Lonchura striata: one gene and its partners. The protein of the gene in region 4 purifies or fractionates together with the protein of the main gene of each other region. This does not show direct contact. Links are inferred from orthologs where the notes say so. Each region holds a gene or a part of one and is shown on either strand. Other genes may lie near its edges. The genes, in order: CEP63, ORC2, TDRD3 and FXR1.

Evidence for each region.
Region 1: the proteins of FXR1 (region 4) and CEP63 purify together in Homo sapiens (co-immunoprecipitation; 3 studies listed by BioGRID and IntAct, with this or other methods). This does not show direct contact. The link is inferred for Lonchura striata from reciprocal best matches to the Homo sapiens genes FXR1 and CEP63.
Region 2: the proteins of FXR1 (region 4) and ORC2 purify together in Homo sapiens (affinity purification with mass spectrometry; 4 studies listed by BioGRID and IntAct, with this or other methods). This does not show direct contact. The link is inferred for Lonchura striata from reciprocal best matches to the Homo sapiens genes FXR1 and ORC2.
Region 3: the proteins of FXR1 (region 4) and TDRD3 purify together in Homo sapiens (affinity purification with mass spectrometry; 3 studies listed by BioGRID and IntAct, with this or other methods). This does not show direct contact. The link is inferred for Lonchura striata from reciprocal best matches to the Homo sapiens genes FXR1 and TDRD3.

Annotation. Positions count from the first base shown.
Region 1 is NC_134612.1:6,433,713-6,441,295, reverse strand, and holds the start of CEP63 (centrosomal protein of 63 kDa), read left to right. Parts: upstream 1-4,569; 5' UTR 4,570-4,601; intron 4,602-4,839; exon of another isoform or gene 4,840-5,206; intron 5,207-7,124; 5' UTR 7,125-7,215; coding exon 7,216-7,259; intron 7,260-7,583. Other genes in the region: ANAPC13 (anaphase-promoting complex subunit 13), read right to left, coding at 988-1,113, 3,289-3,387. UniProt on the Homo sapiens protein: Required for normal spindle assembly.
Region 2 is NC_134610.1:27,162,019-27,169,509, forward strand, and holds the start of ORC2 (origin recognition complex subunit 2), read left to right. Parts: upstream 1-4,491; 5' UTR 4,492-4,534; coding exon 4,535-4,631; intron 4,632-5,545; coding exon 5,546-5,689; intron 5,690-5,971; coding exon 5,972-6,058; intron 6,059-6,961; coding exon 6,962-7,051; intron 7,052-7,491. UniProt on the Homo sapiens protein: Component of the origin recognition complex (ORC) that binds origins of replication. DNA-binding is ATP-dependent. The specific DNA sequences that define origins of replication have not been identified yet.
Region 3 is NC_134604.1:55,890,688-55,898,233, reverse strand, and holds the start of TDRD3 (tudor domain-containing protein 3), read left to right. Parts: upstream 1-4,539; 5' UTR 4,540-4,630; coding exon 4,631-4,671; intron 4,672-7,546. UniProt on the Homo sapiens protein: Scaffolding protein that specifically recognizes and binds dimethylarginine-containing proteins. Plays a role in the regulation of translation of target mRNAs by binding Arg/Gly-rich motifs (GAR) in dimethylarginine-containing proteins.
Region 4 is NC_134612.1:19,947,585-19,954,578, forward strand, and holds the start of FXR1 (RNA-binding protein FXR1), read right to left. Parts: upstream 3,008-6,994; 5' UTR 2,928-3,007; coding exon 2,877-2,927; intron 1-2,876. UniProt on the Homo sapiens protein: mRNA-binding protein that acts as a regulator of mRNAs translation and/or stability, and which is required for various processes, such as neurogenesis, muscle development and spermatogenesis.

The DNA of each region.
Region 1 (7,583 bases), about 14 Mb from region 4:
ACCTCTACCAGTAATCCTAAACTCTGTCAAAATATTTTTCCTTAGCAAGAAGTTCTGCCAATGGTGACATGGAATTGGTCCAACAGTGGAACATGAAGAACAGAAGGCTTTTACCTGTTGCAAAAGACATCTGAGAATCAGAGATAAAATAAGGTCCTTGAGGGCCTTGCCTTTCATCTCAATACAAAAAGAGGTAACAATTTGTTGCCTGAAGCTAAGCCCTACTGATTTCTTTTCCCCATCACGTTTTTTTGATTTTCATTTCCCATCTGAGGTTGCTCATGTGAGTGGCTCGCACATCAAGAGGCCCTACACTAGGACGGGCAGGTTCTTCCTTGGAACTCTCAACCATCCCTTGGAAGACCCTGATTTTGAGTAACCACCATTTCAGCATAAATTAGACTGTCTGTTCACTGTACACACTGGCAGACATTCCCAGGATGTCAGCATTGGAAATGCTGTCCACCACCACCATCAGATCCTGAGAGCAGGAATTTGAGTGCTTACAGGTTACTTCCCACTCTTGATTCTGCTGACCAACCTTTCACATCTGCCCCACACATCCACAAATTTGTTAAAGATGGCAACAACTCACAGCTATTTGGGTTTTGTACACTGAACTCTAGACAATAATCCCACTGAGAACTTCGAAATCAATTGCAATTTGAGACAGTAAAAACTTTTTAATCGTGTAGAAAACATTTAAGATCAGAATTGGCACCAACTTAAGAACAATTTAACAGAAAACATGAAATAATCTTATAAGCATGAAACATTTTGCACTTGGCTCTGAGATGTCAGAGCCTCTGCTATTTCACATTCAAGAAAGAAGCATTTTAAAGAAGCATTGTGAGCAGAACCACTGTTGGAATCTGAAAATCTGGAATGCTGTTTCCTCCTTAGGGCAGCTTATGACAGCAATGGTCAGCCAAAAAAATATTTTTATGTTGCATTCATGCATCCACTGTTAGAAATCCCACTGATTCACTAATTTCCTGTGGGTGGAACGTTTTCATGGAGATACTGGAGAGCCAAATCTGTCCACTTCATTTCTTGCTCTTTCACAGACTCAGTGGTGCCACCGTTGTCTTGCTCTGGTTCAGGGAGCTCATTCTGAGAACAAAACACAGGTAGAATGCATTCCACATGTAATACACTTTCTGCAAGCAGCAGGTTGTTATGATTAGTATGGATAGATACAAAACCCACAAACGAGACCAGAGGGTGCATCTGAACAATAAATATCATACATACTGATCCACTTAAAAATATTGCTGAGCCGCATCATGAACAGTATTCTTTTCATTTGAATATGGTTATTCTTTTAATTTGAATATTCATTTGAATGTGTTTAATCTGAAAGGTAAATTGTTTTCCAGGACCCTGGGGCCTTGCTATACACTCAGACTGCACACACAGTGAGGGAGAATATACAGCAAATGCAAAGTAAGTAAATAACAGTACAATGCATTTATTCCACTGTTTGTTTGCAATGTGCTGTTTCTGCTGTTGCCAAGAATACAAATACTGCAGACAAATGGTTCTGTAAAATGTTACTTTCTTATGGCAGGTTAGAAGTCCTTCCTGTCTGTATGCTGGAGTCAGGTGTAGCTGTGCTGGATCAACAGCAGAAGCCAGAACCCCCTGCCAGGTGTGCCCCAGAGCTGCTCACAGCACAGTAAAGGGAAGGAAAGTTTAACAGATTTCATTTTACTTCCTTCTATTATTTGTTCTCTGTCTTGCTGTATTGGTGTAGTCACACTGAGTGTGTGCTATTCTGCCAGATACCATTTGGGCAGGAATTCTGAGTTCTAGAATTTAGAGTTCTAGAATTTCCTCTGGAAATCCCAGCTGGAGCTAGATAAAGTGTTTCAGCTTTGAAAACAATGAATGATTTGAACACATCTGAGTTCCCAGAAATGGCTTGATTAAGCACTGGAGCAGATTCTCAGGACAGGCTCAAATACCACTTTCACAGCCATTCTGGTGCTCCTTTGCAATGTCCCTGAGTAAGTCCCCTGTGAATTCATGCTGTTTTCTCTATGTGATCAGAGCCAATCCCATCTCTGGGGATCTTTATATCCACAGCCAGGCCTTTCTATTGGTAGTTGGTGAGGCTTCCTTCTCTGAGGCTGTCATTGTATGTGACTGTAAGCCATCACGAGATGGCTCTAAGGGAAGAAACAATAATGTTTGGACTCAGGGTAAAGGCAATTGTCAACAAGGAACCTGTTTATGATACTCGGCTTGCCTAATAAAGGCAAAGGAGGGTTTGTGCTCTTTTAGCTGAGAATCACGCTTCTGCAAGATGCTTCCCTCAAGCCCAACTCTTGGCAGGAAAATGTGTGCTGTACATATGGACTTTGAGTTGTGCAGCTGCTCCTCGCCCTCTCTGAAAAGCCAGTGGTGGCAGGGCTGACGCTTGAACCATGCCACAAATTTGGAGATGTCTCTCTGCTGAAAGAAACCCCACAATCCCCACGGCTGCTTTATGTGAGCTAGCTGGGGTAAAGCTCGTGTACCAGAGAGAAAAAGGGAAAATCCTCAGCTACCTCTAACTTCCCTGTAAGTTTCAAAATAGCCAAGGAAAGGTGTCAGTGTGGGAGATCTGAAGCTTTAGCTCTGGGCTCTGTGGGATCAGCAGTAGCTTTTCCCCTGCTGCCCCTCTCTGACTTTGCAGCTGTACCCTGGATGAAAAGAGAGGTGCCATGCCTTGGACACATCACCACAGGCAAGAGTCCTGCTGCACCTGCCAGTCCTTCACTGCTGTCCCGGAACTTCCAACAGCAACACTGAATCTGGAAAAGACTGCTTTGAAACACTTACGAAAATGTCTCAGCTTCTTTTAATGGCATTGCAGGAAGCAGATATAAAGTGTAACCAAGACTGGAACTGTATGTGAGACTGATCCTCTGCTCTCCCAACAACCAGGAAAGTACCTCAAACACCAGGAACAAGAAAGGGAAGCAGAGAAAAAGGATGATTCTACTTCTCCCTGATGCCAAACCTAGGAGAGTGCAATGGGAAAGGAACTCCAGTTCTGAGAGGATTCAGCAACTGGTCAGGGGACAAGCAACAGAAGCATCCATGTCCTCATGCACTCAGGAATGACTGGCATATAGGGCACAGAAGGAGTCCCTTCCGTGAGAGACTGGATCTTCCGTGGAGATCCAGGAGCCTCTTGTACAAATTAGCCGCACCACGAGGAACATTCTGTGCCTTTTCTTGGAAGGGACTGTGATGAACGCAGCAGCCTTAACTCAGATTGATAAGTAGCAATTCACCTACCAGAGGGATGGCCACATCCTCGTAGGGCAATTTATCTTCCCTCCACGCATCATCGATCAGATCCAGGATCCTGCCATCCCTCTGCACCTCGCTGTCCATCGTCACAGCGGCGAGAGCAGCTAAATCTGTGACACAAAGCAGATGCTGTTTTAGCAACATCCCCAGCCAAGGAGCTGGAGTCTGGACTATTGGCTTGCTCCAGTTTTGATGAAATCCATATGAAATTTAAACTTACAAGGATACCTTGATTTCCCTAATCCACACAAAAAAGGGTTATAACCACATAGAACAACTTCATCTGAAAAGAACTCTATCAAAGTGAATTGCAGACTGATATGCACTGGAAATTAATATATAAAACCAGATGGTTATTACTGATATTTACATGTATTTTATATCTACTGACTGACTTTTAGAAGTCTAATTTGAGTGAGTTTGAGCACCTAGAGCTGCTCAGAAGCCTTTGCTGGCTGCTGGCTTACAGCTCCTGAGCAGTGACGTGCCTCACCTGTCTGGGAGAGTCACAACAAAGGACTTCAGGGTACCCAGAATTCTGCCCGAACCTGAAGTGCAGGAAACCGGTGAAAGAGAAGCAAAACGAGACCCATCTTTCACCCGCATCTCCTATAATTACTCCAGACTGTTTAACTGTACTCTGCCCTCCTTGAAGGATCACCTCAGGCCCTCGCCCCGGTGTGATGCTGCGGGGCGGCAGCAGCAGGCAGCCCGACCCTGGCGGGTGTGAGAGAACGGGCACTCGTTCAAAACCGAGCCAGGCCTGGCACTCGCCGGCTGCCGGAGCCGCGATGTGGGCGGCGATGGGCACGGGGCTGAGCGCACCCCAGCCCCGGCGCGCTGCGCTCCCTGCCTCTCCCGGCCAGCACGGCTCCGTGTTCCGCGGTGTCCCAGGGCTGTGTCCCAGGGCTGTGTCCCAGGGTTGGGTTGTGTCCCCGCGGTGTCCCAGGGCTGTGTCCCAGGGTTGTGTCCCAGGGTTGGGTTGTGTCCCCGCGGTGTCCCAGGGCTGTGTCCCAGGGTTGGGTTGTGTCCCAGGGCTGTGTCCCAGGGTTGGGTTGTGTCCCAGGGCTGTGTCCCAGGGTTGTGTCCCAGGGTTGGGTTGTGTCCCCGCGGTGTCCCAGGGCTGTGTCCCAGGGTTGGGTTGTGTCCCAGGGCTGTATCCCAGGGTTGTGCCCCCCTGTCCCCGCGCTCCCCAGCCCGCCCTACCCTGCCCATCTCCGCGGCCGCTGTTGCGCAGGCGCGGCCCCAGCGCATGCGCAGCGCTGCCGGGGCGGGGCCGGGCCGTGCCCGCTGCCAGGGTGGGAAAGGCGGGAAGGAGGGAGGGAGGAAGAAGGAACGGAAGAAGGAAGGGAGGAGGGCGGCTCGGCCAGCCAGCGCCGGGGTGTCGGGCAGCCCGCAGCGGAGCTCCCCGGGGCGCGGCGCCGGAGGGGCTCGGGCAGCGGAGCTGTGCCGCGGCGGGCGCGGGGCAGGCGCTGTGAGGGCTCGGCTGCGGCTGGGAGCAGCGGCGGGAGCGGGGAGTGCCGGCCGGGCCCGCTGGCCCCGGCCGCTGCACGGACCTAAGCGGCACCAGGGCCGGACATTAGGAGCAATTCCTTCACAGAACGGGTGATTAGATACTGGAAAGGGCTGCCCAGGGCGGCGGCGGCGGCGTCCCCATCCCTGGAGGTGTTTAAGGAAAAGACTGCACGCGGCACTCGGTGCTCTGGGCTGGGTGACAGAGTGGGGATCGGTCACAAGATTGGACTTGATGGTCTCAGAGGACTTTTCCGAGCTCAGTGACTCTGAGATTCTCGCCCTGGCGAGGGCTGGTTCACTTCGGGCTCCTGCCGCAGGTGCCGTTCCTGCCGCTGGCAAGCGGAGCTCGCCCGTGGTATTGCTTTTGGGAGCTCCTTTTGTGTTCATTGTAAGCATGCTTCCAGCAACGCTTTAAGATTGCATCTTTCTGTGTTTCTAAGTGCGAAGTAATCCCAGTCTTGTCGCATGGGCACTATTCTTAAGTCCTCCTGTGTATTGTAAAGTTCTCTCCACTTCACTCTGCTACAGTTCTGCCTTGAGCTGGAATGCTAAACCTTTTTTATTTTTAAATGTGTTGTCTTGTTTTGGACTTTTTTTTTTTTTTTTTCAAATACTTCACATTTCTTCACTTTCAGAGGTGATCAGCCAGCTTTCCTTCCTTCAACTGTAGTTAATGAAGGAGATTGTTTCCTCTTCTGGGTCTTTACTCAGGTTCCTGTAACTTGCACGTTGCAACTTGCAAGCATGAGAGGCCAAAATGTAATACTAAGTCAGCAAACTGTACGTAGCATAGAACTGGCTAGAGGTGTCTGATTTTAAGGCTTTTCCCCAAAATCTGGCTATGCCAACTGTGGCTGTGCCTCCCATGGGAGCGTCCAAGGCCAGGTTGGACAGGGCTTGGAGCAACCTGGGATAGTGAAAGGTGCCCCTGCCCATGGCAGCAGTTTAGCATGAGATGGCTTTAAGATCCCTTCCAACCCAAACTGTTCTGGAATTCTATGCTGTCTGTCTCCTCATCTCTCTGCCCACTGAAAATTGATTCTGTGTAGGTGTGATTAGAATGAAAGAGGAGAGCTGCTACTGTCTAATGTCTGCTGTGGCCACCTGGAGAGCTCTTGGAATGCTGTCAGCAGCTCAGGGGATCTGCTCATCTGCTCTCCTCAGCACCCTGCCCTCAGCAGAACCACAAAGTTGTTCTGCATACTGATTGAGTTTTGTTACAGCACCAAAGACAGATGAAACAGTGTCAGAATAGGAATAGGATTTTTCTCTGTGCATTTTTTATATGGCTGTGGTTTAAAACACTGCTCCCAAGGACAGGTTTTAATCTCTGAGTTGTGTTTTTAAGTGCTGTAGGAGCACGATAGAAGATTCTTTGGGAAAGAGAATGAAGCTGAGCCTGCATTTGTCAAAGTCTCCCTTGCTGTGACCTGTTCCCCTTTTGCTGATTGCTTAATAATGTTATATTAATCTTTGAGGAAAGATGGTGGAAGAATTAATCTTCAGTACTTGGAAAATGTGTAGATTTTGGAAACAGAAATTTGTGTTAATAGCTCTGGACAAGTTAACCATTTTTATGTTAGCTGCAGTTTCATGAAGGAGATATTGAAATAAATTCTGGCTTCCTGGCTCTGGTTGCGTGGAAAATTTTTATTCCCCATTTTTGGCTTTAATGTAAACTCTTCTCACTTTCACCACAATATGAAATTTCTTTGGGTATGCATGTGTTTGTTACTTAAAAGGTGAATTTTTAACTGAAGCAATGTACTGCTACTATAAAGCTGTTCAACTTATTTTCATAATTTAAGAGGAAATTTTAAGGAATTTATGTTTTCTTAAAATTCCCACAACTGTATGAAGAGCCAGTGTGTTCTGAATGCTGTGGTAAACTACATGGTCTCTTTAAGCTAGTCTATAATAGAGGCCTGGAAAATATGTAATTTATGGATGAATTCTTACTGCTACTTGCTGGTGTTTTCTCTCTGAAGTGACAAACTTTGAAATCCAAATGTTCCTGTTTCTCCACATGCTGGTGCTCCCAGTAGATCTACCAGTCCTTCTGTTGAGTTCACACAAGTGCAGAGTCTAATTGCTGCTCTCTGAATTTATTAGATCACATGATTATATCACTTCAATTTGGTAGTGTTGGATGATAGCATTGGGTATATTTTTCTGATAGAAAAATCTGTTTTCCTCTGTTTGGCTTGTAAGTTCATGAAGGTGCCATTGTTTTCCTCACCTGTAATTCCATATTCTTTGTATGCTTTTTGACTTCTGTGCTTTTTGGGCTTCCACTTTTCCTGCAGTTGGATGGAGAAGCAGCCTGGTTTGTGCATTACCATGGGTGACCACTGCTTTCCTGTACTTCCCTAGTACTGAAGCCACCAGGATTCAGTGATGGAGGCTTTGCTGGAAGGAATGCAAAGAAATGGGCAGGGGAGGTATGTATGCAACTGTACACAGCAGTCATTCCAAATGATTTAAGTGTTAACCTTGCCTCTTATTCAGAATAAATCCTCTGGTGTAAGTGTGCAGTGGCCCTCAGCTGCTGCAGAAGCGAAGTCACTGGGGGAGCTGGCTCTGTGCTAAACCCTGCTTATAGTCTTAATTGTCAGAAATTTAGTTGTACATCTTCCTGAAACCTCAGCCTCTTTTTCTCAGTTGTTGTTGTAAACTATTCTTACTGTCCAACATCAGGAGCAGTAGTAAATAGAGTTGTGAATAAATATTTATTTTGTAACAGCCTCGCAAGGTTAATGAGATGT
Region 2 (7,491 bases), on a different chromosome or scaffold from region 4:
TCTATATTCTGATGTATACATATACTTCAGTAGGGAAAAATGACATTTCCTTCATGCACATCACAATATGCTGCCATTTTGCAACTCATTTTTTTGGACTTTGTAATTTTAAGAAAATACAAATGTTGGGATTGTGAACTCTAGCTTGATCATCCTTTTCAGGGATTTATTGTGAGCAGCTTTTTGGTTGAATGGTTTTTTAAAGGTGAACCATATTTTCATCTGGTAGAGAGCAAAGTGATGAAGTAAAAATACCTATTGAAATTAATGTTGCAAGATGATTGTTTAAATTTCTGTATTATCCTTTTAGTTTTTGTTTGGAAAAATGTCATAAAATGGATACTTGTGTATCACTGTCCATTTTAAATGCGGATTTCTTTGAACACCCTTTCTGATGTGAATTCGAAAGTTTTTTAACAGCATACTTCATTCTGTAATGCTGAACATCATGTTGCAGCCAGTAAGCATTAGATCTAGTATTTGTAGTTTGCAAGTGTGTTGGTCTAGAATGCATTTCCAACATACTCCTGCTAGCTTTAACATAATTAAAGTCATCAAAATAGTGAGGAAAAAAATGTTTTCTGATAAAGTATTTATTTGCACTACTTATGAATACTGGAGTTTACTGGGACAGGGTTTTTTCTCACCATGTGAGGTTTACTTGTGTGTGAGTAGGTACATACATTTGTCACGTGTTGACAATCAATTGCCTCAACTGTGTGTATACTGTATGTAAATAGGAACGTATTTTTCAAGATTAAGGGGGAAACCTACATCTTAGTGGTGGTAAAGCTACTCTGCAGTAAGGTGACCCCAACTCTGCTTTTTGTCTTCAAGATACTATGTGGTTTGTTTTACTTCTTTAATGAAGTTTATTAGTCTTCTTAGAAAATTGTAGCTCCAGGGAAATTTTCCTCAATATTTAATGTATAACATGTTCAGAGAATTATATTTTGAAAAATTAATTTTGGAATAGATAATTCTATGCTATGGCTGTATTTTAACCTAAGAGTTTGAACGTGTCCTATTTTATCATGAACCAATGGCTATCTCCTCTTTGTTCAGAATTTTAACTTTGATTGCAAACCAGACATTTTTGTTTATCTTGGCTTACAAATTCAAATTAATTTGAAGACTAAGAATCAATAATAACTTTTTGAATAAAATCATAAAAACCAAGCTGTATAGTATAGGTACTGTGCTTGTAATCCTAGAGGAGGGGGGGAAACTATAATGGAATATGTTTGAATGAAATGTATGTACTGCACACAAAAAAATTACTTTGATGTTAGTAGATCTAATAATCTCATTCTTAAATTCTTTCACTGCCAAAGATATTGCTACCTTGGCATGTTTAATATAACATTAAAGCCATCAGCTAGGTGTCATTTGTAACAAGCATTTGTATCATAGGACTACTTTTCATCAGAAGAGTACATGTACCTCTTTTATTTCAGTTTCTTGTTTAGGATAATTGCAGGACTAAAGCTGCAAAATATCACTTCTTATCAAGCATGCTAAGCAAACAAGCCAGATCCTCTGTACTTGCATCACATTATTGATTTATATGATTTTTTTATATTTTGTATTAACTTCAGTATTTTAAATGCTATTTGTTTCTAGCCTATGGGCCTTAATCTCTGTTCATTATTTTTGTTTTTTCCTCACTGGCAATTGGATAAACTTTGATGTTGAAAGGTTTTCTGTAGCTGATTCAGGGTAGTAAATCATGACATGGGTGTTGTGTTAGTGAATACATGTATCAGTCTGTCAAAATTTCTGTCATGACCAGCTGAAGAGACAAAATACTTACCTGCCTCTTCCACAGTGGTGGAAGATGATGGTGAGCTGTGAGCAACTTGGTTTGTTCATGAAAACAATAAGCAGATTTTGCAAGACTGATACTTATGAGGTTCTCCACATAGTAATTATGAAATTTTATTTATAATAAATCTTGGAACAAGATTGTAAAACAGCAGCCAACCATTTTAGATAAACTTGCCTAGTAAGTTTGTCAAGTGTCAAGGCCTGCGATATTAAAAATTCAGAAGAAAGCTGTGCAAGTCTTAAGGGTACCTTACAGCTTCAGAAAAGGATTTAGTAAAAATCTGTCCCATTTTAATCCATCTGTATTTGAGATTTAATGAAAAAAATACAATTTTGCTTCCATCCTTTTCCTTATTTTTTTCTAGGCTATACCTCTCCTTGAATTTTAATTGTGTTCATCAGATTTTACCAAAGGTAGTATCTGAGGGACCAACTGAATTAAAAATGGGTCCATAAATTATCCCTTCTATTATAAAGGGATTCCTAAGGTTTTCTGGTGAGGAGCTGTTGATGGGACAGATGTATAGTAAAGCTTTGTATCTGTACAGTAAAACATTGCCTATATTTTAGCTTGTGCATGATGAGCAGAGTGATGAGATCAAGTTTTATTGAGCAGCCTCTTGGTTGTGAGCTCCCAGTGTTTTACAGTCTGTAAGATCCAAGCGGTTTTAAAGAAGACTGTCTTTGCATTCTGATGCAACTTTTAAATGAGTGATTAATAATCTATTCAGGAGTCAAAATTTAAATTGCTTTAAAATGTGGTTTAGAATTCTCACAGGTTTTGATTTTAGAGGGTAAAATGGTCGGGGGAGATTTCTGTTTAGAAGTATCTGCTGGTAAAATGTCTCTATGGTGCTTTGTCATGGAAACTTCCTTACAAATCAGTAGTTAATCCTATGTGTTTGAGTCCTCATCCTCCCCAGAACTGATCATGAAACAGAAAAAAGTAGAGCAACCATTTACCTTTAGTTCTAGAACTAGTACTTGGGAGTAACAGAAATACTGGCTATTGACACTGTTCTTTCTGTTCAGACAGTTACTGTGGTTGTGCTAGAATTTCATGTTATTAGTTTATGAAAAATGCAAGTAGTAAAAACTTTGTGGCTTCAAGTATACAGTAGATGTGAGTTAACAATCACTCAGGATAAATCAACATGTCAAAATATTAATAGATTCCTAGTACTCTGGGGTGTGTGGTGTGTGTGTGTGTCAGTGTTCAATGATTACTTCTGTTTTCTTGCACATAGTACATACTTTAGGGGTGGGTATTACTAGGCTGGTTATTTATGGACAAATACCATATGATTAAATAAAACAGAGTAATTTAACACTTTTTTCATATTGAAGATTCCAGGAAAAAGCTAATAAAGATTTTTAATAATCAGCTACTCTTAATACATTATAGATTTACTATGGTAGTTTTTATTTGCTATTAGACGACCCCAACAACTAAATGGATATATACCCCATGCTGCATTTTTAAAATTTGTAATTCCTGTACTTGACAATGAGTTTTTTGATCTGTTTTTGTCCTTGTAAGAATACAGGACTTGCTCTCAGTTTTACTAGCAAAAAGAAACATTCTGCAAGGGTTAAAGGATTATTTTCTTACTTTTTTCATCATACCAGGTTTGTTTCTCTGAACTAAGGTTTCTGAGGATTTTTACTACTTTAGCATTATTTAATCTCATGGAAGGAGCATAAGCAGCACGTAGCCCACTTCTTGTGGACACACAGGCTGGGCAAAAGGACATGGATGGGTGGTGTGAGCCCCTCTTGACCAGCATAGCCTTGCTTGCTGGTATGAGCCCCAGACGTTCGAGATTCGGTACTGGTGAAGGACTAAATCAAACAGGTTTTTAATAACCATGACCTCTGCTGTATGATGTCCTTTAACCTGGGGACCAGGGAAAGTCTTCATTCTTAGTCCTGAAGAAGGCACGTATTGAAGATCATCTTCTTGGTGCATGTAAGCCATTATCTTAACTGTCTTACTGAGCTGGTTCATGCTGTTGACTTGTTGAAATGTGAAATGTAGTTACTATTGACTTTGTAAATATCTGCCAGAGAAGAAATATAATTATTTTAAATCATTGTAAATAGAGATGTATAAAACTCGACACAATCTGCAATGCAGAAAAAATTATATATATATATAAATATATAAAGATGTTAAATAAATATCGTGCTGTTTCTGAACAGAAATGAATACTTTGTGAATTACTGGTTTTTAGAGGTGTGACTCGGGCCGGTGAGGCGGGGCGGGCCGCGGCCGGGAGGGGAGTTCTCCCCGGGCGGCCGCGAGGGGGCACCCGCCGCTGCTCGGAACGGGCTGGCGGCGGCTTCGCGTCGCCACAGCGACCCGAGCACGAGCCCGGGGCGCGCGCGTGCCCGGCGGCGGAAGTCCCGCCCTGCGGCCGAGGCGGGCTGGGAGCGGGGCGCGGGTTCGCCGTCGCCACAGGTCACTCAAGGCGCGGCGCCCGGGTTGGCCGCCTCGGGGACGGCCACTGGCTGGCACGGGAGCCCGGTTCCGCCTCCTGCTGCTGCCGCCTCTGCCGGGGGCACGGGTCGCGGGCGGGACGGCGGTCCCGCAGGAGCGGCACCGTGAGGGGTGAGGGGTAAGCGGGGCCGGTCCGCGGCCGGTCCGCACCCCCCCGGCGGCAGCGCCCCCCGGCGGCGGGGCCGCGCCCACGTGACGGGAGCCGCCATGAGCCGGCCCGAGGGGATGCGCAGCAGCCGCCACTCCCTGCAGGTGAAGTTCGTGCCCGACGAGGACGTCCTCAAGCACATCTCCGACGACGCAGGTACAGCCGGCCCGGGGCATAGCCCAGCCCAGCGCCGCCGCTGCTCCTAGGGCGCTGGGGGAGGGATCCGAGCAGCCGCGGCTGCCCTCGGGAAAGGGGCTCTGCAACACCCGAGCCGAGTTCTGCAGAGCCTCGCGGAAGGACGAGGCCTCTGGAGTCGTTCTGCCTCGCTTGACTCCCGCCCTCAGAGTCTGTCCCAGCCCGGCACTGGGGCGCGCTGCAGGCGGGGCGTGTACGAGCGCTCGGTACGAGATCTCCCCGCAGCAGCGTGTACCGGGCCAGCGGCACAGGGAGCCGGGAAGCTCCTCGGGCCTGACGCGGTTAAACACTCGCAGTCAAAGCGGAGTGAGGCTGCATGTGTATGCCATAGCAGGGTTTTGCAGCAGTTCTGACTATTAAGGTGGGGAACTTCTGTGGAGATGCTTAAAATTTGCCAGTACAAGGCACGGAGCATCTCTTTCAGACTCCACTGCTGGTCCTGCTTTGAGGAGAAGGTCATGCAGATGTCCAGGGGGCTCTCAGCCTACATTCTCCCATGAGTGCCCTGGCAGCCTACAGGCAAAGTATTTTCCAGTTGCTCCTCTTCTCTAGAAAGAAATAAGGGTTAACAAGTACCATCCCCTTTGCATGCAATTTGATACTGTAATTCGTGAGCCACTGTCATTTCTCCTATTCCTCTCTGTAGAGCTAGTGTTTGTGAAAATGGGTGTCTTACCTTCATGGACTGCATTTGTGGTGAAGGCTATAGGGTCAGCTATTGACCAGCTGTTATTTTATCAGGGCATCTCAGCATTGAATTTGTTGGGTGATTTTCATAACAGGAACCTGGTCTCTTAAGTCAGGTGGCTGTGTACTGCTGCGATAGAAATAATGAAATGGCAGGAGGTTAAAGCTTTTTTTTTTTGCAATTCTAGGAACTAAAGTGCGGAAGGAGAAGGCTCAGCTGAGTGTCAGTGTGAAGAGATTTGTGAAGAAGCTTGAGAATATTTCTGATAATGAAGCTCAGGAGATCTTGGAAGAGAAGAACTATGTTGCTGCTCTTGGAATATGTGCCCAAGGTATTAGCAGGAGAAGACCTAACACAGCTCTGACTTTAGGAGATTCCTACAGTTAGGGTTATACAGTGTTGGTGAAATTGCTTTTGAGGGCTCAACCTGCTCTGTGTGTGCTTGTGGTAACAGGTAGAAGAGAATATTATGATTCTAGTATTTTATTATTATACTTGTTTTGTATCACCTGCAATATAAAGCCAAATAGTGAAATGTTTAATTCCATCTTTCTTGGGTTGGGAATGTTATCAGTGGTTTTAAAATAGCTGCGAGTAACATGTCTTTTCACAGATCCAGTGGGAAATGGCTCAAATATAAGTGGTGGTGAAGTTTACTCATTCCAGACTCCCAAACGCTCCAATAAAATGGCAGAGCTGGGTATGTTTCGCTCTTCTTTCTCTGCAGACTTAGGAGAAGCAAGCAGAAAGAGGCAGTTACAGAGAAGGTGGACTGTTTTGGTTCAAATAAGGTGCTTGAGCAGGGTTGTCACTTACATGAAGAGTCCTTGTACGTCCAGCACCATCTGAACTTCATTAGTGTTTATTTGTCACAGCTAATGATACATTCTACAAAGGATGATCTGAAGGAGAGGGATCGTCCTACTGAATCACTATTCAGAAACTGGTTTTGGTGCCTCTTAGTTACTGCTGTGTCTTGGGAAGTTGTGTCTCCTATCTTAGACCTCCTTCTGCAGCAGGGTGGATTTCACTGGTGCTCCCTGCTGGAGCTATGAATCAATTTGAAAACTGAGGGAAGTCATACTATGACAGCCTGTTAGTCCCAGTGCTGTTACATGGAATAGGCTGTTGGTCATACAGTGGTAGGGGCCATTAGCAGGGTGTTTCAGATTCACATCAATCATTCAACTTCAGCTTGTACTGATAAGGAGTAGACACAGGTAAATAGTTCCTCCTAGGGAGCTGATGTGTTTACTGCATCTGAAGATCTGTTATATGCAGCTGAGCAGTCCAAAAGAACTAAGTGAGCTTGACCAAACCTTGCTCTAATTCAAGGACATGTGGTCTCCCAGGGAGCAAAATGTGCTCTGCCATCAGCCATATTTGTAAACTTAATTAATTGGTGAGTTCAGCCTTTGAAAATCTTTTCGGAGGAATACAGCCACCTTTAGGGTTAGAAAAATCTAAAAGTATTTGGTTCCTTAAATAGCCAGGGAATTAATATGGAGAGAGCATTTCAGGGTGTGGCTCCATTTCTGACTAGCCAGAGCTGGAAGTTTTGTACCTGACATGTCCTTCCTTCCCTTCCCCCTATTTCCTACAGCCTCTGAATTAGCCCGGACACCAGAACAGAATGTGTCACCTGATCACTCCAAGTGCCCTGAGAAGATGGCCAAAACCCCTCAAAACAGCAGTAAGTCCTGTGATGGTTTGGGAATGAAGCTGAGTGAGTGGGGGTTATGTTTCTCTTTGCATGGTGGAGTGGATGCTTGAGTTCCAGCTTCTCTCATGCTTAAGTATTCTAGTTAAAGCCAGGGCTTAAGTATTCAGGTTAACACCATGGGCTGAACAGTTTGATGTGCATGACCTGTGCTTCACCTGCGTGTCAGATGTCTTCTTCTGCCTTGCTGCTATAGGGGAAACATGAACATCTCTCTCATCTGTTGCTGTGACATTTAATGACTTCCTCTCTATTCAATAGAAATACTTGCACTTGAGAGAGTTATGAGCTGGGCTGGTGTGTTAAACACTGATTGGGTAGGACTGTGTGGGTGTTCATGTGTAAATTCATACTTTATTGTATAATATTTAACACCTAGTGCTGCAGGGAGAAATACAGGTAGGAGAAGTCAA
Region 3 (7,546 bases), on a different chromosome or scaffold from region 4:
ACCAGCCCTTCTGCTGGCCCACAAGGGGCCCTGAAAGCATCATAATTATATGGAATTACATTCTGCACTACTTAGTGATTCATCATACCCTAGTGATCATTGCAGTGGTTCATCTGCACTTTCAGGTCTGAACTGCTGAGATTTTGATAGGCAGCCATGCACAGAGCCAACAACAGCATCATCGTGCCATATATAAATGCCCCATCCTGACAGCCAGAGTGCCTCGCCGAGTGTGACGCTGTCTTTTTGACTGGCATAATGCCAGTGTGAACTATATCTTTAAGGTGCTTGACATACACTTAGTGATTTTCAGGACAAAGTGGGGAGTGTGGTCAAACTGAAGGGTTCCAGAAGAGGACAGTCAGGTGACAAATCAATTAGAGCAGCCTGACAAAAATGTTAGTCTTGGCCTTTAGTGAAAATTCTCTCTCCTTGCAACACCACCTTAACAACAGTCTGTGGCTATAGGTGATGGTATTATGCCCAAGACTTCATAATCCTTTACCATTTCCATGTAGGATACGTACTTGCTGTTTGTCTTTCCTCCATCCTGCTTCTTTCCAAGCCTCTCTCCTTCCTCTCCCCCATGAAGAAAATCTTTAGTTCTGTAAATCTCCCTTCTTCTTATTAGTCTGTGAAAAGTTAATCTCTTCTCTAGCTGCCATATAAGAAAGACTGTGTGCTGAGTACTGTCCTTCACATAAATCATACACAATATTTTAGCTGACATGCAACAATACAGGTAGAAAAGCTAATCCTTCTGACTGCAGTCAAATCAGTTTAGGACCCAGTCCATCACAGACCATGGAGAGGCCACCACTTTTGTTCAAACTCCAGCACACTCCTAGAAATAGTGACCAGAAAGAAAGGCCCTTTCCATTCAGTGCCCAGTAACTTTCAGCTCCAGATCCAGGATAAGGATAATCTGCTTTTATGTTCAGTAAGCAGACCTGTTCCCTTCAGATAACGCAATGAAGAAAGCATATTTTATGGAAGACAGAAATTGAGACCAAAACAGACTTGCTGCTGCTGTGGGGACCTCCTATTATACCTGGTATTCAGGGTCTTCATCCCAATGTTGGTGCTTTCAGCACATCAGGTAGGGATGAAAGATGCCATAACTCATGATGAGTGTTACAGGTTTCTGCTCTTGCTCATTTCTGGAAAGTGCGGTCAAAAGTTTCAGCTCCCCAGTTTTGTGAGCCTACTGTTAACCAAGAGAATTGAGCCTGGAACTGGCAGGAGATGAAGGGAGTAAGGATGAATCAATTCAATGAATCAAGGAGCCTACAGGGCTGCTTCAAAACCTGGCTCTTGCTGTCTTGTGCTGAGTGCTAGTTCTGTTAGAACTGTCTCACCAGAGGTGCTTGAGTAGACCAACCCTTTCAGGTATTTAAAATTACAGAACATTGTGAAATAACCTCTTTGGCACAGATTAAGCTGTCCTAGGGCACATGGGCAGCAGTCAAACAGAACTGCATTTTAGGCAGTTTGGACAGAAGAAGTCCATGTGAATTTTGTGGACAGTGATGCACTGATTCATCTGGAGCAACAAGCATTTTCCAGAGAAAGCTCTGAAGGCATAGAGCCCCTTACAGGAGTGCAGAAGTTTAGACTGGTCCCTGTACAGCCCCAGGTACTTTGGTGCTCATTACCTTCAGCAACGTCGCTTATTCTAAAGGTGATCGATACAGAGAATATACTCTAAGAACGTTTTATCACAAACAGCTGGTACTGAGGGTCTTAGCTGCAGGTTTCTGACTGTCTGGCAGGCACTGCATCACCTTTTGTTTTACAGTGGAACTAATTGCTCACCTCGGTTCAGCACAGCCAGCAGCAGCTACAAACTACAAAGCTCAGGCAGTGCCCTCTGTGAGCAGAGAAACATCCACTAATGGGGACTTCTCCTGTACAAAAGGAGGCACATGTGAATACATACACAAACACATCTCAGCTTGCATATAATTAATTTGTTAGAGCAGATGCCTGCAGACCTTTAAGAAGCATATACATTTTCTTTATAATAGATGGTGTTTAGTGCCATGAGGTGCAACAGCTAGCCCTATGCCAGCATAAACTGCTGGTATAATTGCCTGGTGACTTTAATGAAGATTTAAGTAAGCAAAACCTTCCATGTCTTAAACTAACACTAGGCAATGCAAAAGGTCTGTAATTCTCATTATCTTCTCCTAGGTCATACTCCATCCCTTACTAATTGGCTCTATGGGCATCCCATTTTGAGTTACAATATTTACAACCTTATCTTGATAATCTAATGTGCAGACAGGTCAGACTCCAAATGCAAGTTCTTTTTATTCCCATTTCTTTTGCATCATAAGTTCTGAACTGAAACCACACTTATCTGCTAGTGCTTTTCCATGTCAGTGGCTGTTACTGCTGCAACATGGGTGTGACTTGGCCACTGACATTTCAGTGTGACTCTTCTGCTTTAGGGTATTCCTCGTCACTAATTCAAGAGTTTCTTTTGTACAGACATACAGTAGGTCTGTTTCGGGGCTCTTGGGTGGGCTAGTTCTCTTCTAGTTCTATTCCTTTTGCAGCTTATGAGCGTATGCTCACCTGGAGCCTTGTCATGACATAGGACTGCACAACCTCTGATAATCCACTTTCCCAAATAATAATGCTCCCTCTGCTATTTTTTTGTGGTTATTTAATGACCACAAGGATTAACACTTTCCTATGGCTACATTCATTATTTTGAGATTTTGTTGGCAGAAATCCCATGTTAGTCTTCCATTTTTAAGCTGCCTTTTTTTTTAAATTTTATTTTAGGTTTATGTTAATGCTCATGACCAAGAAAGCTTCAAGAATATATATAGCATTATGCATTGTTCAGTTGAATAATATAGGTTTTATTTCCTTCATCTGTGTCAAGATTTATTATCAATTATCAACTTATAGATATACGTGTTTTCTTAAAATTAGCATCTACACAGGCCACACCATACCTACTTATGACAAAATTTTTGTCCTAGAGTACATAACCTATAGACACAAAAGAAAATACCATGAATGAGCAGCACAGAGTGTTGTGTGCAAAAATCCTGAGTGATTTGTACTCAGTATGGCAAAGAGAGGTTTTCAGGTAGATCAAACAATGAAACCAAAGAAGACTCAAAAAAACCCTCAACAAAAGCAAATTAAGCTTTGGCTTGAAGATGCTGCATAAAAATTGAAACATCTTGAGGGTGAAAATAACCCATAAAGAAAAGACCACCTTTAATAGACAAACACAGCAGATAGACAAGTTTCAAAACCTCAGTGCTGAAAAAAAACCATTTGGCATTGATGGGTTACAGAAGTAGCTGGACATGATGCACTAATGCAAATGGTCAGTGTTTTCTGCAGAGCAGCTGACCTCACCTGCAGGCAGAAACCCTGAGCACCCAGGCCTTGATAAGCATTTTCTTAACTCCTGACCTGCCCATGTTCACCTTCTGGCTCTTTCTCTGGATGCTGGAACACAGAGTAAACAGGGCGACGGTGTTCCCACCTCACATATCACTGGCACCGGAGGGCACTGGGCACTTGTAACAGCAATGATGAAAGAGTGCTATTCTGTTAAAGTATAATTCCCTTTAAAAATACACATAAAACCCTCCCAAAATATTCATATCGGTGCCCAGCATTTTAGGGCAAATCATTAAAGAAAACAACGCAAACAACAAATTGCCAAAAATAAAAGAAACATAGAACCAGTCTTTCAAAAAGAATTATTAATGTTGCGAAAGACCATTAACAATGAGCCCAACCATTAAGGAGCACTGCCAAGTCTACCACTAAACCATGCCCCTAAGCGCCACATTACAGCTTTTCTGAATACTTGCACGGACAGGAATCCCACCACTTCCCTGGGCAGCCTTTCCAATGCTTCACTCTTTCTGTGAATAAGTTTTTCCTAAAAAGCTTTCTTTTAGGAAAAATAGGAGGTTTAGACATCTAAACCTCCTGTGGCACAACTTGAGGCCATTTCCTGGCCATTTGCATTCATCCTACCATTTGTCACTTGGTAGAAGAGGCCGACCCCCACCTGGCTACGAGCTCCTTTCACGAAGCTGTCAAGAGCGAGAAGGTGTTCCCGAGCCTCCTCCTCTCCAGGCCAAACATTCCCAGCTCCCGCAGCTGCTCCTCATCTGACGTGTGCTCCAGACCCTTCTAAAAATCCCTCCTCGCCCGCAGCACGCGTTTGAGGGCCCGAAGGAGAGCCTTTTCCAGAACAACGCTACTGTCAATAATGCTATCCATAGCCGGAACGCGTTTAAGCAAGCCCTTCCGACACTGCACGGCGGCAGGAGCCAGCCGCCGGAGCGGGGCCGGCGCTCCCCGGCCGCGCTGCCCTCACTGCTTCCCTTCCCCGCCATGGCGGCAGCGGCTTCCAAGCAGCCGCCGGTCGCGGGCTTTGTTCGTCTCTGCCTGCGCCGCCCCCGCCCCTTCCTTCCCTCCGCTCCCTCCCTCTCCCCTTCCCTCCCTCCCTCCCCTGGCCGGCCCGAGCGCCCGGAGAGGCCCGCGGGGCGAGGGAACGAGCGGGCCCCGCGTCCCTCCTCCCCTGCGAGCGAGTGCCGGGGGTCTCCGCAGCGCCCGCGGCCCCGAGTGCGGCGGGGGAGGCGCCATGGCCGAGCGGGCGCGGGCGGCGCTCTCCGAGTCGGGCTGGTAAGTGGGGCCGAGCTCGGCCGCGCCGCCGCCTCCGCCCGGGGTGCGGGGCGGGCAGCGCCCGTGTCCGAGCCGTGCGGTGCGGGGGATGTCCCGCCCCAGCTCCGCTGGGAGCCCCTCGGCGCCGGGCAGGGGCTGCGCCGCCCGCTGCGCTCGGGCCTGGCGCTGGCTCGCCCTGGAGAGCAGCTCCCGGCCCGTCCCGCCGGCCCTGCCGCGAGGACCGGCACCCCTACCCCGCGGCCACCCCCGAGGTTCCTCGGGATCGGCGGCGGCCTCCCCGCCTGCCCCGGGACTGGCCTCGCCCGCAGGCCTGGCGCCTGCCCGTACTGCTGGGGCTGTAAACTGCACCGTGCGCCCCTTCTGTAAGGCAGGCAAGAAGCAAAAGTGGAGTTAAGGTGGGGTAAATGAACCACACGTGAGGCTTGAACTCGGTTGCTTATGTTTTCTTAAGAGTCCCAGTCGCTGGGCACACAATATCCATTTTGGAACAACGTGTTTCAACGAGTTGTGCTTTTCAAATACCTACTGTAAACGCTTATTTGCTAGCCTACAGCTGAGATTGCATTGTAGGAAGTTTTTATTTTGATTTGGGGCTTTTTTGTTTGTTTGTTTGATTATTTTGTTGAAGTGATTCACTTATTAGTCAATACTGACTTTTTCCCATAACTACTTGGAAAGTCTTTCGACAAACCTAAAGTTTAGTGCTGCCTGCTAAAGCACAAAGCAATGTACGCAAAGTTATTTCCAACGGCATGTTTGAGATATTTCTGGTTTACTGTTTACATTAGTGGTTGTCCTAGATTGTGGTTTCATGTACGGTCTAAGATGGAAAAAGTTAAAGTGGGTATCCTGTGATTTAGAATAGAACAAGACAATTTACTTAGAAGGGACCTATGATGATCATCTAGTCAAGTCACTTGATGAATTCAGGGCTGACCAAATCTTGGTATGTTATTAAGGACACTGGCCAAATTCCTCTTAAACATTTGACTGCCACCCTAGGAAACCTCTTCCAGTGTTTGATTATGCCCTCAGTATAAAGAAATGCTTCCTTATATCCAATTTGAACGCTCTCTGGCACAGCTCTGAACCATCCCCATTCATCTGGTCACTAGATCCAGGCAGAATCTGTCTTTGCTTCCCCCACTCAGGAGGCTGTAGAAAGCGGTTTGCCCCTCAGCCTCCTGTTCTCCTATCGAGACAAGCCAAAGTCTTCAGCTGCTCCTCACAGGACATGCCACCAGCTTTGTTGCCCTCCTCCACATTTAAGGACCTTCATGTAGCTTTCCAGTTTTTTGCACAGTAGTCCAGGTAAGGCCCCACCAGTGCTGAATAAGTGGGAATCACCTCCTTTAACCCCCTGGTGATGCTGTGTTTGTTGGGCCAGCTTTTGCTACTTTGTGGTAATAGTAACCAAACAGAGTAATTAGGTGTCCTTTGCTATGCCTCTTGAATAAGTGTATCAAGAGCCAAAACATTGTTCTAAATGGTTCTGGAGAGCACAGTCCTATGACTCCTGGCTATTGCCAAATTGATACAATCAAAACTAGTTCTGCTACTTTTTATAACATTTGCTTATTTGACGGGAATTTTGGACTGTGACTTGAAACTTGCCCCTCTACTCTTCTGTTATGTAGACCTCTCCAAAATTGGAAAAGTTTTACATAAAAGTAGTTTTATTTTCTTAGTTTTCTTTTCTTGCTTTCTATTGCCTATTCAAAATTTTTTCCCAGTTTTCAGCTCTTGAGTTGTTTTGCTGCCTTTTCAGCTGAATGCATGCCATTGCTTAATGGCTTTCAAGTTTTTGGCAGTACAAATATGAGGTGCCTCTGAAACAATCTGTCCCTTTGCAGTGTTTGCTGCCCTCCTTGGTGGCAGAGACTTTTGAATGGCTGTCAACAGTTGTTACTCTTGCAGTCCTGTAGGGTGGGAGCCAGAGGCTGAAGTTGAAGGGGCAAGTAATGGGCTCATTATCAGGTCCACTGGAATTATGCCTTGACCAGGTTGTATTGGGAAAGGTAGTATAAAAGGGGAGGAATTAATACATATACTTTTGAGGAATGTGAAGTGGAGTGGAAAAATAAATAATGATTTGGAAATCTTGCTTAGCTGTGTTCATGCACTTAAAAAAAGAGTAGTAACCTGAGCACCCATGCTTCTAACTGCTTTGCTGTTGCTCTTATGATTTTTCTCATATTATTAGATCTTAGAGTTATTTACACATCTGTGAGTGAGCCTTCAGTGATGTTTAATGTCGGTTTAGTGTTGGTGATTAAGTAAAGTTTTGTACCAAATTGGTGGTTACTGCTGCTGTCACCTGCTGTCAGAATGATAATATTTCTAGTACAAAAGAAAAACTGAGTTTATGTGTTAAAATCTATCCCCACTTAAACTGCAAAAGCACTGCATGGCATGTCAAGTAAAAAATCTTTGCTTAGCTTAAAATCTGCTAGCTTGTAAAAATCTACCTGTACTGTGGATTTTACAGTAAGTTTCTTATACATTACAGAATTAGAGAGTTAAGGTAGACACTTGTTTATTTCAGTTTCTGCAACTAGTGTTTACCTTTTATAATTCTGAATGAAAAATAAAGTTATTTTTCAAGTAGAACAGTAATAAAGTGTAGTTAATACTGAACAGTAATTATAGATCTATTCCCCTCCCCCAAGCAGGTATTGTCAGAGTAATCTGTTATAAAATTGTCTCTGAATTTGTAATGTTTGCCTTCAGTATATCAATTACATTTTTTGTCAGCTTCTGAAAGGTAAAGGAGCCCTACCTAGTAAACATAACAGTGGTAGGTAAAGCTGGGAGACATTTTTTTCTTTTTATGATGATGGTGGTATTTTATGAAAATGAGTAAAAGGCTCCTGTA
Region 4 (6,994 bases):
AAGACAAAAACTTTCCTGCCATCTAGTTCTCACCTAGAAAGCATTAACTTTTCTACCCTCAGGAAGCCCTCATAGCACATTTAATATATGCAAACCCATAATCAGTAGACTTCAGCAACCCTGTCTGTTCTCTCCTGTTCCACAGCACAAGCACCCCCCCCCCCCCCCCCATTTTTCAGAAGCCCACAACCATTTCAAGCCCCATCAGTGCCATCTGATCTCCAAAGACAATGAGTGCTCAAAATTATGATATTCCAAGCTGCAGGAAGTGGCTAAACACTGGCTCTGCTGTGTAATGGTTGAGAACCTGGCATAAAATATACAGTAAATGATGTCCTGTTCTCCAGATTTGCTTCTTTAAAGCAAATGGAAAAAACAAGAAACCACAAATTAGTTTGGTGACTTAGATACATAAGTTTAAAATCAGATCATACTATGCACTTATAATTTTTTTTAATTACCTTGGGATTTACCATAACTGCCCACCAATACATGAGAACTCAAAATGTTTTTTATGATGAATGAATTTTAATAAAGAATATTAATTTTCCGTACTAATGTATTGCAACTATAGTGTATGGTCTTCCTGCACTTAGGAAGAATCCCCTGTTAAAACTGAAGAGCAATTATTAGTGGAACTAAAGAAACTTTATAATAAAAGAGTACCATTTACCATAGTCATACTTCTAGTAAGTCCTGAAAACCCACCAGAATGCTCCAACAGATTTAACCACTACATTTGTTCTACTGCAGCTAAGCTGCAGACCATAGTAACAACTCCTTAAAAGAAAATCTGTCATGATATTGTTTACATAATTATTTTGGTTTTTTTTCTCTCTGTTGACACAGCAGGATCTTTCTGATCTCATTTACCTGGGGTTATGCTGTGCTAATTAATCCAAATTCAAGCTGTTCTAAAGGCAAACCTCAAATCTCATCCCATCTCACAAATTCTGCTTTTTCTCTTCTGAAAACTTTTGCCACGTTCCTTGGAATGTCACACAGATTAGAAAAGATGAGTCTCTTGTCATTGTCTTGCAATGATCAGAGCTACTGGTGCCCAAAATAGGACACTTCCTAAAACAGACTGACACACCTCTTTGCTTTAGGTCACTTTAAACAGCAAGTGACCTAGGAGTGTTACCTAGTCCCAAAAGAAATGCAAAACCTTGCCTTCCTCAAGAGTAAGATTCACAAAATGGAGTCACTGACATACACACCTCACTGCATTTAGCTCACAATAAGAATTTTTTAAATTGTGTTTGTTTGAATGTTTTGGTTCAGGTCTGGGTCTTTATGAGGGTTGTTGTTTTCCCCCCTCCACATTAACAGTGGATTACTCTGAGTTGGGATTTTGATCACTGTGCATCCAATCATTCTAATCTGCCTTCATCCACTATCTTCATCAATGGACTTCATTCCCACTTCACTGATCTCAAAGTCATGATGCCATTTTTAATTAAAACTTCTGCTTTTTTAAGTCACTCTTCACAGGGCTAAAACACATGATGGTGCTAATCCAAGGCTGATAATTCATTCTGATTTAAGAGATGTCATCCTTGCAGATTTTAAATCAGGCTTATTGTAGCAAATTCTGTGCACACAGATCCCGTCAGTCCAAAATTTCATCACACCTCATACTCCCATGTGTCTGACATTCCTTTAAAGCAGAAGAGCAACTGATTCATCATTTGGAAAGCTGTCCAAGATCACAAGGTATAAAATGGAAAGCTAAGAAAAGTGTTTCCAAATTCTGGGCTTTTTAATGCTCGGGGGGGGGGGGGGGGGGGGGGGGGAGGGGAATCAATTCTATTGAGGAGCATCCTGTTCTGGACACAAATGATTCTGATGTAGGTTTCTGTGTGATACTTCAGGTTCAACAAAAAAATGATCCACTGTATAAAATTTATCACCTACTCCTTTTGGTAAAAAATTCAGAGGGTTCCCTACTAGGGGTGTAGTCTATGCCACTGCATTCTTTCCTCATAAGGGTATCTCCCATCTGTCTTGACCAGCTGAAAGAACTAACTCCTGAAGTCAGCTGGTTACAATCCCTTACACCCAACTGCCTCTACATACTGTACAGTCACCATATGATTCCCAAGCCAAATCCACAGCTGCACACAGGAAATTCTGAAGGGGGGAAGGGGAATCGAAAGGGCCAGCCCCACACCAAGTGCAGTATTGCCTGTGCAATGCCACACTGTGCGTGTGGTTAGGCACAATAGCTAAAGAGAGTCCCCAGATTAAATCCTCCCAGAACACAGCCACGCTGCGTGCTCACAATACTGGCTGGAATCAGCCCTCCTGGAGAGGAAGACAGGAGCCTAGTGCCATAAAAAGAGCTGGGATTCTTAAACATCTGAAGCCAGGCTTAGGGGAAAATGACTGACAGACAACAGCTGAGAGTACTCTGCATTGATCCTGTACCATCCTGACATTCCAGGGAGGGTGATGGTGAAGGAAGATTTCTGAAGGCATAAATAAACTCGAAATCCTTAAAAAAAATTATTTTAACTCTTTTAAAATCATTATTATCGCCCCGGTTCACCCCAGCCCACCCAAAATCCCTTTCATCTTCCAACACCAATCCCCCCACACGCCCACCCACCCTTCCCGAAAGGAAGGCGCAGGGAATCCCCGCGCCGCGCATCCGCTCCCCCGGCCCCGCCAGCGCTCTGCCTTCCCCACACGCGAACCTCCCCTGCCCGCACCAGCCTCGTCACCGCCGCCCCCCCGCCGCCGCCCCGCTCCATCCCCGCGGCCCCGGCCCCGCTCCCCCCGCACCTTCCCCGCTCACCGCCCCCTCCCCCGCGGCCCTTCGGCCCCGGCCCCGCCGGGCGCGGAGCCGCCCGCGCCACCCCCGCCGCCGGTACCTTGTAGAAGGCCCCGTTGGAGCCGCGCACTTCCACCGTCAGCTCCTCCATGTTGGGGCCGCAAAGGACGCCGGGACGAGCTTCTAGAAACTGTCACCGCGGGGGGAGCGCGGCGCCCGCCCCCTCCGCCCGCCCGCCGGGCCGCGCCTCCGGCCCCGCCCGCTCCCCCGGCCGGCCCGGCACCGCCGGAGCGGGGGGGACGGCTCCCCGCGCCGGCCGAGCGGGCGCTCCCTGCGGGAAAGCTCCCGGGAAGGGCTCCCGGGAAGGGCTCCCCGCCGTTATCTTCCCGCCCGCCGGCGCGGGGCTGAGGGGCGGCGCGGGCGCGGCCGCGTGAGGGGGCGGCGGGCGCTGCGTGCGGAGACAATGCGGGGCGGCCGCGCTGCGCAGTGAGCGCCGCTCGAAAGGCCGCGCCCGACGGGCACCTTGGGCTGCCGGGGCGGATAACACACACGGTGCCGCCCGACATCAGCGCCCGGCTCGGCTTTGTCCCTCACGGAGCGCCGCCGCCCTGCCCCGCCCTGCTCACACCCCCCCGGGCTGCCCTGCCCGCCTTCCCCGTGCGCTGCTGCCGGCAGAAATAATCAAAAATAAAAGCTGCCTGTGATGTGTCGGACCTCACAACACACTGGGGAGCGAATTGTGCTGTGCGCTAGATGCTCGCATAAGCTTAGTCACGCAGAGCCTGATGAACGGCCTGTACCTATGTCAAATCCGTGTGTTTTTGCAATTGCTTTAAATATAGAACCATGGATTCATTTGGGTTGGAAGAGGCCTTTAAGATGAAATTCAACCATTAACTCAGCACTACCACTGTAACCCCTAAACCACATCACTCAGCGCCACATACGAGTACCTCTTAAACACCTCCAGGGATGGTGACCACCTCCTTGGACCACCACTCCAATGCCTGACTATCCCAACCGTGACATTTTTTTCTGGTATCTAATCTGAATCTCAGCCTAAAGTCATTTCAATAGCAATGCTTTCAAATGCTCATTCTGCTCATCTTTCCCATTGGGCATCAGACTCAAATGGCCAGGAGTCCATGATGATATTTTACCTATCAGATGTTTTCATTTTTAGTTTCTTCATGTTAATCTTGCTTTTGTGCCAGTTGTAACCATGTCTGTCGGATGGGCAAGGATTTTGGACAAAAAAGGCCAAAAAGTGTTGAGAAATGTGGCTATTGGGTGAGGTGCAAATGCTCAAAATGGTCAAAGAATGTGGGGTGGTGGCACCTGGGGACATGGTTTGGTGCTGAGCAAGGCAGTGCTGGGTTGATGGCTGGACCTGATACTCTTGGAGGTCTTTTCCAACCTCAGTGTTTCTATGGTTCTGTGATCCTGATGTGCCATAACTGAAGGAAAGATATGGGTCCAACAGCATGAATGTTTTTTCCCATGCTGTGTGCATGAATATTCCTAATCTTGAGTAATATTCCACATAAATTTTGGAGAATACCTTTTATTCTAAATTTTGTTCTAATATTTATAAATTACCCACGATTTATTCTGTGCATGGTGCCAAGGCCACACATGGGCAAGAGAGTCCTTCTGAAAAGTACCTCCTTTCCTGGCAGCAGAGGCAACTCAGGATTTTCCAGGATAAAGGAACCAGATAATATGAAGCAAAGCATTGTGCTATAAAATTCTATGTCAAAGGTTTTCATTGCCCCAAGATTGAATAGACTGAGGTTTATTTTTTTGGCTACCAAGACACAGAGTCTCAACGTCAACTACTAAAAAATGGTGTATGGAGTTAATAAAAAAAACAAACCAAAAATAAACTAAGCATGAGCTGCTCTCCTTAGGAAAAAAAAAAAAAAAAAAAAAAAAAAGACGTGGTAAAATGGTAAAAAAACCCAAATTACTCCAGAACTGTGTGAGGTGTCTGGGAGTCCACATTTGCAGAACTGGGGGACAGTTCTGGGCTTTAGTGATAATGAAGACTGGCTTGAGCTAATGCAATCTGCATCTGAATTTGCCTGATAAAGTGTGTTTTTCTGGAAGTGTGAGGATGATAGTGGTTAAAGGGACAGGGTTGTTTACATGTTAATTTTGAGGCAGACTGCTGTGCCTGGGTTAAATGGGGATAGCAAAAGGCTTTAGTAGGTTGTGGGCCATAATAATTTGCAGCACATCAGCCAGAAGGTAGATGATGAATCTGTTCTAAGTTTAGTTTTCACTGAATGTAAATTATGAGTGACTACTAAATTAAATTGCTTTAAACATTGCTGAAATAAGAAAAGGGAGGATCCAGATTCAAGAACTCAAGAATTCCTCTGATAATAGCGGCTTTTTTTTTTTTTTCATGAGAATTTGTAAGCTTTCGTTTTCGTTTCATTTTTTTGTTTCATTTTGCAACAGCCACAGTGAAACTGCCACTTTCATTTCCTAGAGCTGATGTGGTCCAGGAGATATTTTGGGTAACTGGTTGAACCATTCTCTGTCTTCTCTGAAAACTCCACAGCTCAGGAGGCAAAGCAAACTGCATCATGCCAGAAGGACACTAAGTCAGAAGTTGCAGGATCCTGGTCCTGGGGACCCTTGGTTGGAAAGAGCAGAAAAAGGATTCCCTTATTTGAGTGAGCAAAATGAAGGGTGGAGATTAAGCACTGAAGGATTCTGATGTTGTCTTCAAATACATCAAGGCACACAGAGGGATAATGATCCATGAGAGACTGAGGCTGTAAAAGACAGAAACATTACTAGCAAAAGGAATTCCCAGAAGGTATAGACTGACCATTAATCGACTTAGTCTGGAAAGAAGTTTACAGTGGGATGTTGAAGAAATTTCAGGAACAGCCTTTCAGAATGAATTAATGGAAGTTAGTAACTCCTGCCTACTTTATTTAGGATGGAAAAAGCATTTATGATGTTGCTATAGCATGAGCAATATAAACCAAATTTTCAAGAGAGAAAATTTTGCAGGCATTGATTTCAACAAATAAACAATCAACCCACACTCCTATCCTTCCAAATGCCATTTTCTAAAATTCAGGAAGTATGTGGACAGACTAGAGAGGCTACAGGAAAAATCCATAAACCATTGAAAATGTAATTCATGGTGAAACAGTATCATAGCAGAGTTTTCATATTTTGAAATAGTGACTTTTTGTCCAAAATCTGCTATTATCCAGTTAAGAAAACCTTTTTAGGTTCCTATCATTATCAATCTTTGGATCAATATTGCATATGCTGTAGTTCATACAAGAATTCATGGAATCATCTGTGTAACTGAAGGTCACAATGGAATTGTCACTCAGGGACCTTCTGACATAAGACTCTGTTAATGTTTACCTCAGCCAAAAGTGGAAAAAATTTAGCTATTTTCAAAGACTTGGGCAAGAGTGAAATCAACACTGAAATCAACAACATAACTGTTTAGAATAGTGGTCTCTTAAAGTAAGATTAGTTGTGAAAAAATGCACACATTGATATTCCTCTTATGCTACTAGTAATCTGAAAATTTGTTTGAAAAAAATGTTGTAGTTTTAAACTATCAGTTATTTTGATGCCAAATAACTTGAGTGCCTTTTGTGATACAGAAAAAGGGGCATTTCTCTGTTTTTCTGAGCACATTTCTTACCTTCCAGTAAAATAAAAAACCAGAACTATCCTATCTTAGGATATTTTGTTTAAAAATATAGGCAAAACCTAAGGTCAATTAAATTCAGACTTGTGCTCTCACTTACAATGTAACAACCTGTGTCTTACGTTCCATTCAGTGAAGTGCTGACACTTAGCAACTCATGCCATAAAAATCAAAATAATGATAAAAAATTAATCTAGCTTCACCTTTAAGTGGGTAAAAACCTTTTTGGTTCCATTGCTCATTCTGAAATTTTGGCAGAAGGCTGATGACTATGAGAGGCATCCATCCACAGACTTCCAACCTTAGCAGAAACAGGAAGCATGCTCTGTAAATTATTATGCATCATTACTTCTTAGTGGAGACAAACAACACAGGTAGATATCTGAAAGATATAAGATCATATTGGCCTTATGTCTTACCAAATGACAAAACCACATTCCAACTCAGCAAAACTCTTGGAGGAGTTATTTTCTTACCTGCTCCCAAGTTCGCTTATTTTTATGTATCTTTTCTTTGTTCTACAA